3 linked regions of the Arabidopsis thaliana genome follow. The protein of the gene in region 3 interacts with the protein of the main gene of each other region in a pairwise test. Each region holds a gene or a part of one and is shown on either strand. Other genes may lie near its edges.

Region 1 (8,219 bases), on a different chromosome or scaffold from region 3:
CGTACCACCATTGAATTGTAGATGAGTTGTTCTCTTTTGTCAGCTATTGACGGTCTAACAAGTTCTCCGGTATATTCAATCATCTGCACAAGAATCATACAATATTTCCATGAGTGACACTTTCTAAAGATGAAATGTCCAGTTCAAGTTGAGTATGCTCACCATATCTCCCGCCCTGTGAGGAAGCTTTGCAAAAATGCCAAAACCATGAATTCCTGATTTCCCTGAAACAAAAAAAGAACCAACTTTTATAAGATTTTTCTGAAAGAAGCTTAGGATGTGACTAGATCATTCTGAAAGGAATCCTACAAATTATTTTTATCCTACAGAAATCCTACTATATTTTTTATCTTAGCAGAAGTTGAAAAGACCTGTAATATCTTTTAAGATTTACTGAAAGTTAAAGAATAACGAATGCTTACCAAATGCTAATCTCTTCCTGTATGTTTCCCTCATGTATCTATATTTCTCAGCCATAGAAAGAATGTTGCTTGGAGTATTCATCTGTGACACCTTGGATCCGTGAATGCTTTTGTACGTTGAAAACTCAAGTCTAGAGTAACCACCAATAACATATGGCTGATTCTCAACAAATAACCGCTTTGAAGAAGCAGCAGCAAGAGCTTCAGGTTCCTTTCGCCCTCTTCTGCCAAAACAATTATAAGGCTCTGCAACAATAGACGGAAATTATCATCTATACTGACCCATAGGATGCAAACACGAATAAAAGTAGAAAAGAATGGAAACACAAAAGCCTGAAATTTGACCTTTGTATCAAATCTAAAAAATGCTTGTATATAAAGTAAGAAACTGATATCTTAAGAGGATATGTAAGAATATGAAAGAGAACAAAACACACATGGCCGTATGCAAGGTAAAAGAATAATGATGAAATAATCCTGTCCCAAAAGTGTGGTGTGAATCTAAATTTTAATCTTAGCATCCACAGATAAACGCAGTAGCTGCATACCTGTCCGAGCACAGCCAGATGGATTAGGTGGTGGGAGATACTCAGAAGTTTTATGAGTAGCGGATTTGATCCTGTCTTCTGATCCTAGGCAGGCAGTTGATGTTTGTCGATGTCGCTTGCAGAATGAAAGCATGCGGATACACTGATCTGCTTCTTCACCCTCCACTGACATGTCATTCTCAAGCTACATGGAGAGTCAGGAAAGCAATAATCAGTTAGAAACATCTCTTTTGTGGACTTGCTGTGTTAGAGTACATGTGTGTAAGTGGGAAAGAAATTTTTTTTATTCCCTAAGGTACCTCAACACAGAGACCAGCAGCTCGCGCGCAGAGTGGATGATATGCCACGCGACAAGAATTGTTTGAACACTGAAATGTAGTCATTTTAAAATTATATATATCAGCTCTTGAACAATGCATAAGAATGATTCAGTTTTCTCTTAACATAGAACGAAATCTTACTTGGATACAAGCTCCATAAGATACCCCGCAGATGGTGCACATTAATTTCCAACGATCCTAGTTTTAAGAGTAGAGAAAAAGAGGAAGAGGGATAAGAGTTTTGAAAAGGCCACAGTACCAAGGTAAAGGAATCCGAACAAGAAAATAAGTACGTACCTTGCTGACTTTATTCACCCCATCAATAGGTTCCATCTTCTTGACATCAGATAAACATGTTTCTGAATAAAATAACAAGTGTTAATTTGTAAATAGGAAAGTAATAGTGTAATACGGCCTCCTATTAGTAGGAAAGCAGACTTATACAGAACAACAAATCGTTAAGATTGAACCTGGGATCCATATAGCACAAGCCAGATGAGCCCAGCGACCATCAGTTGTCGGCTTCATAGCACCCCCTAAAAGAAGTTTCAATTATTCACTAATGAAAGCACATATAGACTCCATACACCAAATGGTACGGTAAAATTACCTACTACAGGACAAAGACAACACCGTGGAGGCATATCAGGAGCACCAGGACGACATAAGTTGCATAACCACAAAGCACCATCACAGGGTTCTAGCTCTCCATAGCATTTAGCATGGACCTAGTAGTGGACCAGGAATTCAAATTGAGTCATACCCAAGAGAAAGAAAGAGCACAAGGCACTAAAGATATACATCTAAGAGGTATATGATAGCTAAAAAAGCCCAGAGCATGAGCTATACCATCATTCTACATTTATCACATTGCAGGAACAAATTGTTCTCATACTCCTGCAGACAAAAAATATATAAATCAGAACTAACTAAAGAGAAACGTTTGAAATCTCATGTGAAACAAAAAAAAAACCTTTACCTCATCCATGTGGCAGACATTGCACTTATCGAGATCTTTCCAGTCAACACGGACAGGTCGGTAACCAGTAGGCTGATTTTGATGCCTTCCCAAACTATTTTTGCACATGGAAACATGGGACGATGGTCTGGATTTTGATAAATCCTGCTACGTAATGGTATATTAGGGTGAGACACATATTAAGTGTAGACACTAGAAGCTAAACAATAATGCAATTGTATAAAACAGGGCGCCGGCAAGCAGTACATAGGGAATTAATTATAAAAGTTTGCAAATTCTAGCAACCATCTTGATAGGTATCTGCCTAATGAAATAATATAAGGTAATATGTCCTACAAAACGAGTTTCGCTATAAAGACTCCAGAACAGAATTCTACTCTTTAGTTTCACTTAAACACAAATTTTCTTTCAATCAATAGACCAAATGCACATATTTTATCCTTAGAAACTCACTGTAAATACTTGTTAAGCTGGCTTCGATTAATAACTGTTAATTTAATTCATACAGTTTTCTTACAGAAGAGAAAGAAACCGTAACAATTAAAGAAAAGAAGCCATAGTCACTAGGCAGAAATGATTATTTCGTAGGTGAAGTTAGTGTTGTCTCATTGATGAAGATGTGATTCTAATATGCCTTTAGACCGGAAATAGCGAATTAGGCTACCCATAAACCAATTAGCAAAGAGCTGCATAGAAATATTTAGTGCACAAGCTTAAATGTCTTACAGGAAAACTTGGTTTGTGCATCAAACATTCATATTAAACATAAATGAGACCCGCTTACACGTTTTAGAGATAAAGCAAAAGCAAGGGTACCACAAAATATTCAGTGTCCAGACAATTATATGATTTTTATGAGACCAAAATGCATGTGCAAGCAGATTATCATGAAAACACATGCACACCACCACAAATAATTTTACATGCAATGACAAGGTACCTGTACAAGTTTAATGACTTCTGGGTTGGAGAGACCAAACATGTCTGTACCAGATCCATTTAGTTCTTCACCCAAAATATTAGGACTGTCAGAATTCTGGACCTTTTTTATCCTATTATATATTTTGTTCCAGCAGGCCGATGGAGTAGGCCCTTTGAACTGCCAAAAAATTAGTTACCGATGTTAGCCAGAGATAGATTCTTGACCTGAAAGTTCAATAAAACAGATACTAATAGATATGTTTAACTCACCTGCTCTCCACTATCTGCAGTCACTATAAACAGCGGATGAGTCTTTGTCTCGGCATCTCTGAGCACTTCCATCTTGTACAAGGCAGATGCACTATGATCTGCTTAAAACCAAAAGCAACAACCCACATCACATTGAGAACTAATCACAATTAACCAAATATGGAAAAATACCTGATTTATAAGTAAAAGCCAAAAACTGATTAACAAATAACCTGTGAGTGATGTGAACTTTCTCATCGCCGTATACCCTTCAGGCCAAATATGATTCTCATCCTTGAAAAACTGAGAGTCTGTCACAACCTTTCCTGTAAGACAAGTCATACGCCTATATATTATCATTGGAGTTTTCCTATAACCAACTATAAATAATGAACCATAGAATGAAAGATTATACACCATACTTATATATAAGTTTCATGGCTTACCAAGATTTATTATTAGCAGATCCCCTATTATATGCCGGAAGTCTACATGTTCTGTTGGTCTCAACCACACTTCTCCATCATTAAGAAGATCACCACCCGAGTTTCCCTCTTCTGTACTATTAGCCATATCGGAATCAACAGAATCAGCTCCCTTTTGAAGTTGACTCATTCTTTCTGGAAGCCTGTGTGCCTTCAGATACCTGAGTGAGGCAAAATAACAGAAATTTCAGGACAGGTAACATGTCCAGGTTTCAAAATGAAACATCATGAAGAAATGATTGGTCTAATTGTTAATGCAACATGTACTGGAAAGTCAAGAAAGCAGAATGCCAAAGAAAAGCGAGAGGGACTTGCATTTTTGCTTCCTGCATGCCCTCTTCAAACCGAGGTTGTTTGCACTTCAGGTGAGATGGCGAAAGAAGCCCTTTGATAAATGAGATTGCTTGCTTTACTTTTATTCTATAAAACCAAAGGATGTTAACTTCAGCTTGATAATGTGTAACATTGATCTCAACATCTCAGTAGAAAAACGAGATTTTTTAAGTATATAGGAAACGCTGACTAACCTAGCAAAATCATGAGTTCCAAAAAATTGGACCAAGAGTGATCCTCCTCCAGATACCTTGTTGTTTAGACCTTTCCGCTCTCCGATAATGGATTCGTCTACAATAACTGCTGGCCACATAGCATGACCTGTCCGAATAGGAAAGCAAATGCAGTTCTATGGAAGTCAGTAGGTAGTTTTCTTTGTCTACATGCTTCCAACAGCATCAACTTGCTGATAGCATAAGGAGGTATTTTTTTTAATATATGAATAAAAGGTGGAAATCAGTTTAAGACAAACCAGCTAGTTTCGCCCATACAATGTCTCCAGGCTCAAAATCTTGGCATTCGTCCAAAGTAGCTGCCAATACAACCATCTCATCGTAATCACGGCCATCGACAGTCACATTACTAGTACAAAACTTCAGATGTAATAGCTCCATCTCTTCACGAGAAACCAAAAATTTGATCATTTCACGATCAAAAACTATATCCTCATCACATCCATCCCTATATTTGACCTAAGGAAGAATTTAATCATGGTTAGAGGAACAAGCTTTTACATATATCATAGCTCAAAGAACTACCCAACTCATAACTCAAGTAGAGTAGAGAATTACTTACAGTGTAACGCTTTCTCTCTGCACTATATCCAACAATGGAACCTTCATACCAAAGAGCGTCCAGCGGCCAAAAAACCTAGGGATTAAACGACAACCAATTGTTAAGATGTCCCATTCACAAAAAAAGTGGAAAATGCAATAGCTTAAAGTGGACAATTGTCTAGTTAAAACACTCGCCTTGCATTGCAGCCCTATGAAACTTGTAGGATCCACACCATCATAACTCAACCTGCCACATCAAAACTCCATCATAAGGAGTCTGCCCACTAACAATAAAAGGTCTTCAAAGTCTGAACTAAGAAAATCATCAGTGCAAAACAACAGCGCAACAGTTTCAAAGTCCATGAATTTCAACAGTTAAAGAGATGATAGGTAGACCCTAACCTGACCCATTTCTTAGCTGAACGAGAAGCCAGAGTCGCCTTGTCCTGATTCTTGCTAGAAGACCCCTTCCTTCGGGATGACCCATTTTGCTTATTCCCACTAAACGCATTGTTTTCCTTACACCTTCTTAAACCAATCGACTCCATACCCGATTTCACCAACTCACAATTACCAATCTTCCTTCTCTTCTTCTCCTCAAAACAATCAATTTCATCAAGCTCCACACTTTCAGTCTTCACAGCCACCGCCTGATCTAGTAAACACTCCCGTAGCGGCCTCTTACGGCGACGATAGTAGACGCGAACAATCTCAGGACGCTGAATCCGCAACTTATAATCATCCGAACGACAACAATCGTCACTAGCACTAACACCGCTACCTTCAATCTCGAATTGCTCAATCATCGGAAGCTTCTGGGCCTTAACCTTCTTAGACATCAGACTGTGAGAACCAACGGCATTAACACAGCACAATGCCGATGAAGGAATAGAGTAGATACTCTCAATAGAATCGTAGCGAATCGGAGCTTCCACTAGATCGTGGACATCAATTTCGATCTGGGTTTCGTTAGAAAAACACGCCATGGAGATTATTCGGAGGGAGAAAGCACAGGGCTTCGTAAAGGAGACACCTTTGCTCACTCTCTCTATCCTTCTTTCACTAAACCCCCAAAAAAATTGCTAGGGAATTTCGTGGATTGGAGAAATTAGGGTTTAGGAAGAAGAATCAGAGAAAAAGGGAAAAAAACAGATCCTTTGGAGGGAGAAGCTAAAAGGCTTTTTTACGTTTCCCGCCGGGTTTATTAAGATGATGACAAGTCTTTCAGATCTATTGCTCTGTCTCCTTATATATCTCCGCATACATACATTCATATATAGTGTGTGTGTGTATGTATATAAAAATTAATATCTGGTTAATAAAAACATATAAAACTAAAAATAAAATAAATAAAAATTCCACTTGTAGAAAAAAAAAATCCCGGTTGTCATGTATTTTATTTTCAACAAGAGTCTTTTTTTTTTGGGCAAAATTCAACAAGAGTCTCTGATTCTTTTATATAGTTTTGTTTTCAGATAATTGTTGTTTACCAGTTTTTGTGTAATCTTCACTACATGGAATTTGTTTTGTTTTTTTTCAGTTCATACGTATATTTTTGGGTTTTTAGTCTGTTAAGTATAGTGTATAAGACATATTTTTCTGGTTAATCCAAATTAAATTCCATTGGAACAAAAAGACAAGATTGACTAGAATTTGAATGAAGGTAGAAATCAACCGAATTGCTCATAAATTCAATTATTGAATGGGGTTCTTCAAGTAATACTACCTATTTTCTCAAATGAGCTAGAGAATTTTCTTGTGAGGAAATTCCAACGATTTGCTCCCTTGGTATTACTTGTTTTGGATTGTTCTGAAGTTTTCTAGAATAATATAATATTTCAACCTAAAAAGCTTAGTTTGTGGATAAATAATCAAACATATGTTAAAGATTTTTGTGATAGATACAAGATTTTTTCTATGAATCGGACAAGTGGAACTCTAATCCAGTTTTTAAGGTGTGATAAGTTGAAGTAAAGATATGAGGTTAAAAGAAACATTTCAACTCACTTCCCTTATCTTCATTCTTAAATGAACGGCTATTCATAGCAATTACTTGATTTGGATTCATAAACCGAATATCTGTCTAGTAGGAGTAGTCTTTACTTAACTTAACTAAAGAACAATATACGGTTGACTGTAGTATATTAGTATGCTTTTGACACATGGAAAATACCGCTGCTAACTTGATCGCATCCAGTGACTTTTGCAGTGTGTCATATATGTTAATAAGGATGTAATCATCATGGTTAACAGTAGTTGCATTTTCTTATGCGGTAGCATACAATGCTCACTAGTGCTCTAAATTGATCCACATAGGGATGCTATACACGCTAGAGACATATATATTTAAAAGTAAGTAAGGTTAAAATACTTGCTTTCATGAGCTTCAAGATAGGTGATGTGTGTACCTCCAAAGTTCTTCCCATCAACTAGGCATTAGAATATGTCGTTTCCTAGATACTTGGGGCAGATTGGCGGCTTATCAGCTTTTCGGATGAAATTTTGATACTTGGACAAACTGGCAGCTGATGGATGGAACTTATTGTCAAAGTATCCATATAGCGTTTGTTGGTTGGCTTTCTCTAGATACCCACAAAATTTACACAACACATATGGCCTATGGTCACAAAATTCTTTGATGTCATCTAACATTGGGATTCATCATCGCTTACATGATTTACGTCCATATATACTTGGACATAAATATTATGGAATGAACAATTTTAAATTTTCATCAAAATACCAACCACACTCACTTAGGATTATGACCAGAACAAATAAAATAATACATACTTGATTAAAAGGAGAAAAACATTTTTTTATGTCTTTGTTAGTTTTTATTTTAAACTATATATTCATCAAAAAAAAAGAGGGAAAATCACATTTTCAGACACATACATGTCCAAAAATATTTGTTTTCCCCTCAAATTCACCTGAACTTAATTAGTAAGAGAATCAGTGACGTCATTTAGTAAGAGAAGACCCGGTTCGGAATAAACCGGCTAAAGAAGACCCGGGTCAATCAGAATCAAAATTGGGTGGTTTTGGTTAGTTAAACAACCCTAGGGATTTAAATACTGTAAATCGTCCAGCTCTATTTGTCCCTCTCCTCCACTCTCGCCAACTATCAATCAAATCTTCTTCTCCTTCTTCTCCGCCATTCTTGTCCCTCTTAAACCCTATCAT
Region 2 (4,879 bases), 260 kb from region 3:
AAATGTTTCAAAAGATTGGAAGCATCATAAAGAAATGGAAAACATTGAGATTCTATTCAACTTCACGTAAGCAAAAAATAGTGTCCTCAAATTTTTGGGAAACAAGAAAGGTGTTGAACATGGACAATAATTCTTAGAGCTAATTAAAAGAGTAGTACCTGTTGTTTTGTGAGACTCTATTCTCCCTACTTCAGGATAATCACTATCATCCCTTCCCATACTGGTATTCAGGGATTTGCGTTGCTCTACCCCTTCATGTGATTCATTTTTTCTCCCGTCTTTGGCAGATTCGGAAAACTTGGATTTACCTTTCTTTGTTCCATTACTTTTAGACTTCGGATGTTTAGCTTTTTTTGCATTGGGAATTAGATGTGAACCATTTTCTGAAGGAGATTTTGAAGCACGCAATTCATCTTCTTTTTCTAATACTCTGTTCTTCTTGACCACATCTTCTGGAGTGCTAAAAAAACCATGATGCAGACCCTCTTTATGTTCAATATTGACAATGGAATCAGGCACAGAGTTGATAACTTCAGAATCTGGTGAAGTTTCAGCGTCCAGGGACTGCGTTCCAGTGGCCCTCTCGCACTCCTCAACCATTCTAATAGAGGAAAGGTGTGGGTCATCATCTAAAACATCACCACCCACCTTCCTACATAAACCCCCAGCGTCTTGGTTATATTTCTTATCCCTCATAGAATCAGATGACTGAAGATATGAAACTTTCTCCACAGGGTTGCTTTTCTCTACCAAGTCCTCTTTAGTTTCCACAGTTTGCATTTTATCCTCACCAAAATGTGCTGATCCTGGCAATTCTAAACATGTTCCTGCTTTTACAATACCATTACCAGGTAAGGAGTTACCACTGACCTTAGAGACTGTAATGTTCAGAGGATTTTGGCCACCTGATTTACCAAATTTAACTTTCAAACGAAGGCAAGAGCCACTTGATGCTTGGATGTTTCTGTTAGATCCTTCTACATTCCCGTTATGAGAACTTCTATTATGCTCTCCATTATTAAGATTTCCCTGAGATCTCTGTGGTTCATGATGCGGAGGTCCATCATAGGGAATATTATTGCTCTGTAAGAAGATTTCAGTGGTCTTGCTTGGTAATCCCCACTCAGATGAACGACTTGTTTTTAAAAGAGAGCTCCTCTTCTGCTTTGAGCACTTGAAAATTGACTCAATGTCTCTTTCTGATTGTTTCTTTCTAGAGGATTTTCTCAGATGGCGAGCACTCGTTTTTGTCTGCACCACTTTACATTGTTTCCCGTCTCGGGCCTTCCTTCGGGAAGAAGACATGCCAGCTTCACAAAAATCACTCCCTGATGCAGAAGCAACTTCACCACCTATTCTGCCATTGTCATCTACTATTCTGAGTGGCTCAACTGCATTTTCAGGATTACAGACTTCGATTCCTCCACTTCCAAAGTTCAATGGAAAATTCCATATCAAAGAAGAGTCAGTAATAGGGGAATTGGCTTCCATATCTAAAGTTTTTTCGTCTATGGGTGAACTCTGACTGAAATTTTCAGCTCTCAGATCAGCAGCCATACCATTATTCATACTCAAAGCGGCCACGGCACTTTCACTTGATGAATCCCCAACATGGTTTTTTAGCATCTTTTCATTCATCACGGAAAGATCAGTGTCAAGCCTATCCTCACGTACCAACTTCAAATCTGGATTGATCGTCTCTGTGACTGTGATCTTGTTAAGATCATGTGAACATAGGCCACCATCATCATTATTTAACATTTCTGTGATAGCTAATGAAGGGGATACAACAATAGTCCCATTGCCTTCAATATCAATTGCATCCTCCAGATAACTTTCTGTGGCGCTACAGCCAAATACACTAGAGTCCAATAACGAATCTGGAAACGAAAAACTCTGACTGAGAGATATATCATCAGAAGAACCAGTATCTAGATCACTCGATGGTCCATTTCTTCCTTCCTTACCTCCATCATCAAACCTATAACTAATACCATCACTTTCAACTTCATCAGGTTTTATGTGCTTTGTGGTTTCCAAAGACTCGAATTGTTCTGGTGCATCATTCACAAAAGTTGATTCCGTATCTATTCCACTGCCCCCTATAGGCAATGTTGTGCCACCATAACCTTCATCTTCTTTAGCCTGAGGAGCTTCTTTCTCTTGCATACTCCCAGAAAAAATGGATACAAGGGACACATTTGTGTCCTGACTTTCCTTTCCATCATCCAGCTTGTTGCAATTTACCAGTAAATCAGTATCACAAATTAATTCTTGACTTTGTTCAAGCTCACCTGAAACCACTCCCTGCTCCTGAGTGTCATCAGCATTGTAACAAACATATAGATCATCATCAGTGTTTCCAGCATCTTCTTGACTATTACTGTTCCCGTATCCCATCTGCTCAATCTCTGTAAAGCACTTCCTTTGGCCTTCAATCGTATGGTTTACAGATGAAGCAGTCTGAGGAATCTCCAAACTACTGACTGAATCTAAATTTTGCCCACGAGAACTCAATTTCTCATAGAAATCTTCATTGGTATTCATCGCAAGATTTGAGGCCAGAGAGTTAGCATCAATATTGCACCCAGAAGCGTCACCAACACCGTTTTCCTTACAGTCCATCGTAATGCTACCTGATTCAAAGCCAAACAAATAACATTCTCAAAAAAAGGGATTTTTAATGAAAAATCAGTAAGCTATTTAGTAAATCAAACTATGCAATGGTTCAAAGACCTTTAACAGATTCTCAATAGAACCCAGCCCCGTATTAACATGATCTACAAAATCAACCAAACAGAGACCCCAAAAAAAAAAAAAAAAAAAACTTAAGAAGGTCAACTCAAAGACCTAACACAAGACAATGGATGGCTCAATCATCAACATTGATGACAAAAACCCTCCGATCTCTTCTGATTTTAAACACGCCGCAACAGAGACTAAATAAAATAAAATAAAATCTTGTCACCTCCTGAAAATAACGAAACCCTAACCTCATGAATCAGAAGCGATTGAGCGAATGCCAACGAACGTAAAACTGGAGCACGAGTAACGGAGAAAACCCTAGAGAGGCGGAGAAGATTACGATATCAGATATAGAGAGAGGAGAAGGAATCGGAGGAAGTAGGGAAGAGACAACGCGAGGCGGTCAGTTTTTTCAGAGATACCGATTTTTTTTTTTTCTCTTTTTCAGTAAAATAAATTGTAAAATCCCCAAACGATACTATTTTGCTATTCCCAACTTATATTTTTTTGTTGTTGCTAATTTGTTTGATTTGGACTTGTGTGGGTCTTAGTTTTTTTATTTTATTTTAATCTCAATGATTACGATGAAAATTTAATTGACAAACAAAAAAATATTTATATTTTTCGATAAAGTCATAGGTTTTTTAAATCTTACCCAAACATATGTCAAAACAATAAAAGTTAGAACTTTTTTGTAGAGAAAATTCACACAAGCTTTTACTAAAAATACATTGCCAATTTATTTCCAAGATATTCAGATCTATTGGGGAGTTGTGTTCAATCAAAATGGTCCCAAAGGTGGTCCATAAAGACATGATTAGTCGTTTAATTAGCTTCTTTAGTCTATGATTACTTGATTAGTCGTTCGTTCTAATAAGATTCTCGCTAGTATTCTTCCATAATGGTTTATCATTAGAAAAAAGAAATATATATTGTATGTGTATATCAGAATAAAAGTTCATGTAATAACTTTAGTCTACCAAACCTAGCTAGTTGTATTATTATTTTACAATAAGACTCACACAGCCCCACTCATTCGCAATCATAACATCGGCGGAGACTTTCGCGACCAAGCAAGCGGGAATAAGTTTCATAGCTCCAGACAACGATGGTTAACTGACTTGTGTTCTCCTCGTTGAAGATGCAAATAAGTGCGATGATGATGAGCCAAGCATTTATCCGAATCAGAGTCTTGTTAACGATATTGAGTCACGGTTTGAATGTGACCAAACCCTTGCTATGATCCCTGTCATTAGAAGCCAAAAACGTGGAAGCTAAGGGGAGGATATTCATACACGAAGTCGCAGTATTTCTTCTTGTTGTCCACCTCATCCACTTCATCTTCTCATCCATATCATATATGTCGTCGGACACCGTCCATATTGAAGATGAATGAGCAGTTGCGGCGGAACTTAGAGGTTGGAGACTATGTCGACTTTATAAGAGATCAAAGAAGCATCACAATAAAAGAGAGAGCAGAAGAGTATCGCCATGATCCCTGGGAAGCGTGGAACTGCAAGGGTGTTATATAGGCTTATAGTGTTGTAGTTGTTGATAATTACTATATTTTGATGTTTGCATTACTGTCTGTCTATATGGAGCCATGGAGGTGATATCATAATCCAAGGGAGAATTAAGAGCTAAGAGAAAAACTTATGCTATCATCTAGCTACACATGATGCATAAAATCTGTGCCTAATTCATAGTTTTGATAATATGGAAACCAAGGAATGCTTTGATATATGACAATAAGCTATGGATCATCATTCCATTGCTAAAAAAAGAGAGAAAAACAATGGAGTTGAGAACAAAAATATGAGATGCGGGAATTGAACTAATCAAGTTATAATCTACTTGTACACATAACCATGTCCCACTCACTTCTCTCAACGCACTTTTGGATGCATCTTGGAAATATGAGAACAAACCATACGAACACTAAAACTAATTGTTTCGCTTTTGTATGATCAACAAAACAGACTTGTAGTTTGGAGTTGATGTAGTCTTACTGTAATGCCGTCTCTCGGTATTGACCTATTCCGACGCAGTTTCCTCAAGAACAATATTAATGCAAAAAGCAACAATTCTAAGGCAAATACATAAGCAAGGCAAGCAAAATAAAATTGTTGTCTCT
Region 3 (5,816 bases):
CCTGTCAGTGGTATTGGGATAGGGCCTGTGCATAAGAAGGATATAATGAAGGCTGGAGTGATGCTCGAGAAGAAAAGGAATATGCTACAATTTTGGCTTTTGATGTGAAAGTGACTACAGAGGCTCGTGAACTTGCAGACGAAATGGGAGTAAAAATCTTCTGCGCTGATATCATCTATCAGTTATTCAATCAGTTTCAGGTTTACATTGAGAATATCAAAGAGGAGAAAAAGAAGGAATCAGCCGGTGAGGCAGTCTTCCCATGTGTCCTTCAGATTTTACCTAACTGTGTGTTCAATAAGAGAGACCCAATAATCCTTGGAGTTAAGGTCCACGACGGTATACTTAAGGTATCCTATTCTTACTCTGCTATATTCTCGGTAACTTGCTCACATGTCCAAGGATTCTCAATCCTTTTAACATTCGTCTTGTTTGTTTTAGATCGGAACCCCCATTTGCGTCCCGGGCAGAGAGTTCACAGATATTGGCCGCATTGCCTCTATTGAGAACAACCACAAGCCTGTTGACTATGCAGAGAAGGGCGACGAGGTGGCGATTAAGGTAATAAGGGGATCATTCCCTTCAACAACCTTTGTATAGAGAAAGAGAGAGAGAGACAAAAGTTGTTGAGGTTTCAACTTGATGCTTTTCTCTGGTTGTATAACAGATTGTTGCTTCAAATCGCGAAGAACAGAAGATGTTTGGAAGGCATTTTGACATGGAAGATGAGCTTGTGAGTCACATTTCGAGGAGATCTATCGACATACTCAAAGCTGACTACATGGTAAGTCAAGGATAAGATAAGTTGTTTCCCATCTACGTTTTCTTTGACTCATTATTCTGACCCAAAACAAATGCTCGAAATTAAAACCAATAACAATTGCAGAAAGAAATGTCGACAGAGAAATGGAAGCTCCTATTGAAACTGAAGAGAATCTTCAAGATTCCCTGAACAGTCAAATGTCTACTCTAGAGCTTAAAACACTCGCGGGCCTTGTTGTTACGTCGTGTCTGCTGCATAACGAAGGGATTTATCTTCCTGATTCGTTTTTTTAATAACTATATTAGGCTGAAATTTGTAACCCTGTTAATTAATTTAGCCAATATCAAGAAAACTCTTAATAGGTAATACTGAAATTATATAATCTTATTGAAATTCTAAATTCTCATATAAAGCATGTTATTTCGTTAAAGAGAGTTTGTTACAGACTCTGACTTATATAGAGGCCTCTTGAACCCGGTCTACACACTAAACCTTAATTAGGGTTAACTCAACCGAGCTACAATCATCATATACAGTATATTATTAGTATATATCTTCAAATAATAACCGGGAAGAAAATGTGATGCAAAATTTAAATAATGATGACTAAAGTAGCAAGATGAATTGGTGCACACAAAAAGAAAAGTAGCTAGATGATAAAAAAAAAAAGTTATAGCTAAGCCCAGGCTGTGATTTGCTCTACTATTTTCAAATTATACAAAACTGAAAGCAATACAAAATGGAAAGTAAATGAAGTGGAGACTAGTTTTTTTTTGTTCTTGTTTTTTTCCCAATTTAATCATTTTTATTTACTCACTAAATAAGTAATTAAAAATTAAGGAGAGATGGGTTGGTTATATTATTATATAATATCAACAAATATAAGAATATAATGTAGTTTTTATTACTTAAATTATCGAAATTTGTATAATCTTATTAAAAGTTAAATTATTAAAATTAAGGAGAGATGGGTTGGTTATATTATTATATAAAAATTTGTATAATTTTTGAGGAGCAACCATAGTCCAAGACCCCACCAAGGCTAAAATCACTCCGACGGCGATGGCAATAACTCTTTTTTTATCTACTCCTATAGCCATCGTTAGAGCCATCTCCCTTTACTTCATCTAGCCAAATAACTTATTTTGTGTTTTATGATCATATTTTAAAAAGTTGCATGTACCCATTACAATATAAACACCCAAAAAGTGATACTTCTTATAACTCAATAAATGTATCTAACAAAATTAGAACCTCTTTTTTGATATATTTTTTTCAAAAATATTAATTTAGAATCGTGATACAAGATTTAACACAAAATGTAATCAATGAAACGACATATAGTGTGGTCTCATAGATGTTAGTTACATGATATCTACTTTAATTAAGGTCACGATATTATTAACATGATAATTTTTCTTTTCTTTTTAATTAATTTAGCTTTGTCTATTGTTTTTTCCTAATTTTAAAAAGAAAAAGAAAAGTTGGTTGCATTCTTTTCCTAACGCCGTCTATTGTTCTTCGTCCTCGCTCGTCGTCGCGTTCTCTCTCTCAAACTCTCAGGTAAGCTTCTTCAGTTTCCCACTTTCCCTCTTACACCAATATCCAATTTTGTGTGTTTGCAAATAAATATGTGTTAAGTAATGTGGTTTCGTTTCTAGCTGCAAGTTTCTTCCTTTCCAAAGGTTTGTGTCGATCTTAAAATCCCAGAGTTTGATAAACCTAATTCTCTCCTTCCGTTTTTAATTTTGTAGAAACTTGACCTATACTAGGCCCTGAGTCTGATTGCGAGAATCGCTGACAAAAAAATGCAATTTTCTTGTGATCCTGTAAGTGAAATTGGGTGAGATTTCGATTTGGTTTGTTTTGTTTGTGCGAATTTCGCCAATGATGTTTTTGTGTGAAGGATCAAGAAGGAGATGAGCTGCCACAATATGAACACATTTATCAAAATGACTTCTCTTATCGAAAGTAAGATCCTTTCTTTGATTGCTGGCTCGTGGCTTTCGGTTATCTTCTCAGTATGCGTTGTTGTTAAGTACACATTTGTTTAACGCTTCTATAGGCACAAGAAACAAAAGGAAGAAGATATATCTATCTGCGAATGCAAGTTTGATTTCGGAGACCCTGACAGTGCTTGTGGTGAGAGATGCCTCAATGTCATTACCAACACTGAATGTACTCCTGGTTACTGCCCCTGTGGTGTCTATTGCAAGAATCAGGTTAACAACTTGAAATCTTTGCTTCCACGTTTTCATGTAATTCTAGAATCTAAGATTTGCGTTAAAGCTTGGTGATGTTCTTACAAGTTCCTATTCAAACTAATGATAATTGAGTTAAATGAATGTTAATTAGTAGTTTTACATGCTTTGCCGGTTACAGAAGTTCCAAAAATGTGAATACGCCAAAACAAAGTTGATCAAGTGTGAAGGTCGTGGTTGGGGACTAGTGGCTCTTGAAGAGATAAAGGTGAGGACTCAAAATTTATTCTTGTGTCTTTATCATGTCTGATACTCTTTACCAAGATTTATGACAATTTCCGTCACACTTCGTTGATCTAATGCAAATGGGCAAATAACATGGCTGGTGTATTCTTTTTCTTAAGTAAATAGTCAATTGGGTTTGATTAAATGACTGGTTGTATTTGATGCTATGATTTAGGCGGGGCAATTTATAATGGAGTACTGTGGTGAAGTAATATCATGGAAAGAAGCAAAGAAGAGGGCTCAAACTTATGAAACTCATGGTGAGTAGAAACTTTACAGAGATGATGAGAGTGTTGTAATGCTATAGGTGATGTTAGGTGATGTGTTAATTATGTGTTACATGAGCAGGTGTCAAGGATGCATACATTATATCTCTCAATGCATCTGAGGCTATTGATGCCACTAAGAAGGGAAGCCTTGCTAGGTTTATAAATCATTCATGGTAAAACGAACAACTGGCTTTTTACATGCTTCAAAGAAATTCATATCTATAAAACGTTCCTTATCGTTTCTTTCTCTATTTTCCTGCAGTAGACCAAATTGTGAGACGAGGAAGTGGAATGTACTGGGAGAAGTTAGGGTTGGGATCTTTGCAAAAGAGAGCATCTCTCCCCGGACCGAATTGGCTTACGACTATAATTTTGAATGGTACGGTGGTGCCAAAGTGCGTTGTCTCTGTGGTGCGGTTGCATGCTCTGGATTTCTTGGAGCCAAGTCTCGTGGCTTTCAGGCAAGTCCTTACGTTATCATCCTCATAGTATTATTTGTCAAAAATTGGGAGGAATGAAATTAATCATACTGGTCTATACCTAACCTTATACCTTTCTATCATTTCAGGAGGATACATATGTATGGGAGGATGGTGACGATCGGTAATTTTCTTTTCACTTATTTTATGCGGCATAAAAATGGTCATGGATCTTGCGAGAAAGGAATGTTTTTCATCTTGGACTGGCGATATTTTAGCCCCTCTCTTTTCTTTGTCTCCAGGTATTCAGTTGATAAAATTCCAGTCTATGATTCTGCAGAGGACGAGCTTACATCTGAGCCTTCTAAGAATGGCGAGTCCAACACAAATGAAGAGAAAGAGAAAGATATCTCAACAGAGAACCATTTGGAGTCTACTGCTCTGAATATTCAACAGCAATCAGATTCAACTCCAACTCCTATGGAGGAAGATGTCGTCACGGAGACTGTTAAAACCGAAACATCTGAAGACATGAAGCTGCTCTCACAAAATTCACAAGAAGATTCATCGCCAAAGACTGCAATTGTATCACGGGTTCACGGTAACATTTCCAAGATCAAGTCCGAATCTCTTCCGAAGAAAAGAGGCAGGCCGTTTTCAGGCGGAAAAACAAAGAATGTCGCTCAGAAGCATGTTGACATAGCGAATGTGGTTCAGCTACTAGCAACCAAAGAAGCTCAAGATGAAGTTCTCAAATACGAGGTAAAACAGTTTTTCAAGCGTATAGGTACAAATTCAAAACCTTCTCAGTATCAGATGTGTTTGGTAAATTGTTGCTTGCAGGAGGTGAAGAAGGAAGCAGCAGTACGACTCTCGTCATTGTACGACGAGATAAGGCCGGCGATTGAGGAGCATGAAAGAGATAGCCAAGACAGTGTAGCAACAAGTGTGGCGGAGAAATGGATACAAGCAAGCTGTAATAAACTCAAGGCAGAGTTTGATCTTTACTCTAGTGTAATAAAGAACATCGCTTCCACTCCCATCAAACCACAAGACACAAAGACCAAAGTCGCGGAAGCAGGAAACGAAGACCATATTAAACTCTTGGAAGCCAAATGAGAATTAGCTCGGAAGGACACCTCTAATGGACAAAAAAATATCTTAAGAACTGGAAGCTAACTTGGTTTACTTTTCACGTTTGAAAATGTAATAAATATTTTTAAAATGAGAACATTTTGTTGAAATTTAAAATTTTAGTAATCAAATTTTTATTAATCAATTCTACCAAAAAAATAAAAATTAGTAATCAAAATAATTTAATAAAGACATTTTGAATGATAAAAAAAACTTTTTTAGTTAAAATTTTATATTTATGTAAAACATATTGATCGTAGAACATCGCTTAAGGATTTTATACTATGGGGGGATGTTGTGTCCAATTATTTTACACATATTGAATTTAACACTTAAAAACAAAAATATTATGTATATTTTAAAAATTAAAATATTTTGTGTAAAATATTACTTAAAACATATTGAACGTAGAACACCGTATAAGGACTTCATACTATGGACGGGATGTTGTGTCCAATTATTTTACACATATTAAACTTTAACACTTAAAAACAAAATATTATGTATATCTAAAAAGTTAAAATATTTTGTCTAAAATATTACTTTAAAAATAAAAATAAAAACCTTATATTTTAAATAGTTATAAAAATAATATAAATGTTAAAATTTAATATGTGCAAAACATATTGAACCTAGGACACCACTAAAGGACCTCATACTATGGACGGGATGTTGTGTCCAATTATTTTACACATATTAAACTTTAACAATTAAAACCAAAATATTATGTATATTAAAAAAAAAA

The links. Proteins that work in one complex are often made in the same cells at the same time.
Region 1: the proteins of ASHH1 (region 3) and ATX1 interact in a two-hybrid assay, tested with the Arabidopsis thaliana proteins (one study listed by BioGRID).
Region 2: the proteins of ASHH1 (region 3) and EFS interact in a two-hybrid assay, tested with the Arabidopsis thaliana proteins (one study listed by BioGRID).

What each region holds. Positions count from the first base shown.
Region 1 is NC_003071.7:13,456,163-13,464,381, forward strand, and holds the start of ATX1 (homologue of trithorax), read right to left. Parts: upstream 6,270-8,219; 5' UTR 6,020-6,269; coding exon 5,436-6,019; intron 5,281-5,435; coding exon 5,229-5,280; intron 5,128-5,228; coding exon 5,053-5,127; intron 4,950-5,052; coding exon 4,730-4,949; intron 4,579-4,729; coding exon 4,452-4,578; intron 4,345-4,451; coding exon 4,240-4,344; intron 4,086-4,239; coding exon 3,886-4,085; intron 3,766-3,885; coding exon 3,673-3,765; intron 3,559-3,672; coding exon 3,461-3,558; intron 3,369-3,460; coding exon 3,210-3,368; intron 2,414-3,209; coding exon 2,270-2,413; intron 2,188-2,269; coding exon 2,140-2,187; intron 2,019-2,139; coding exon 1,901-2,018; intron 1,827-1,900; coding exon 1,761-1,826; intron 1,650-1,760; coding exon 1,588-1,649; intron 1,489-1,587; coding exon 1,432-1,488; intron 1,339-1,431; coding exon 1,270-1,338; intron 1,155-1,269; coding exon 971-1,154; intron 669-970; coding exon 423-668; intron 225-422; and 4 more.
Region 2 is NC_003070.9:29,046,186-29,051,064, forward strand, and holds the start of EFS (histone-lysine N-methyltransferase), read right to left. Parts: upstream 3,270-4,879; 5' UTR 2,994-3,269; intron 2,637-2,993; 5' UTR 2,626-2,636; coding exon 159-2,625; intron 1-158. UniProt on the Arabidopsis thaliana protein: Histone methyltransferase involved in di and tri-methylation of 'Lys-36' of histone H3 (H3K36me2 and H3K36me3). Binds to H3 already mono- or di-methylated on 'Lys-4'(H3K4me1 or H3K4me2), but not to H3K4me3.
Region 3 is NC_003070.9:28,789,127-28,794,942, reverse strand, and holds ASHH1 (SET domain group 26), read left to right. Parts: upstream 1-2,223; 5' UTR 2,224-2,326; exon of another isoform or gene 2,327-2,517; 5' UTR 2,518-2,571; coding exon 2,572-2,592; intron 2,593-2,669; coding exon 2,670-2,734; intron 2,735-2,828; coding exon 2,829-2,985; intron 2,986-3,145; coding exon 3,146-3,232; intron 3,233-3,424; coding exon 3,425-3,509; intron 3,510-3,597; coding exon 3,598-3,691; intron 3,692-3,780; coding exon 3,781-3,979; intron 3,980-4,086; coding exon 4,087-4,121; intron 4,122-4,239; coding exon 4,240-5,056; 3' UTR 5,057-5,223; downstream 5,224-5,816. Other genes in the region: AT1G76720 (eukaryotic translation initiation factor 2 (eIF-2) family protein), read left to right, coding at 1-10, 37-350, 442-561, 668-799. UniProt on the Arabidopsis thaliana protein: Histone methyltransferase involved in regulation of flowering time. Required for the expression of the SOC1/AGL20 gene. Required for histone H3 trimethylation on 'Lys-4' (H3K4me3) at the SOC1 locus.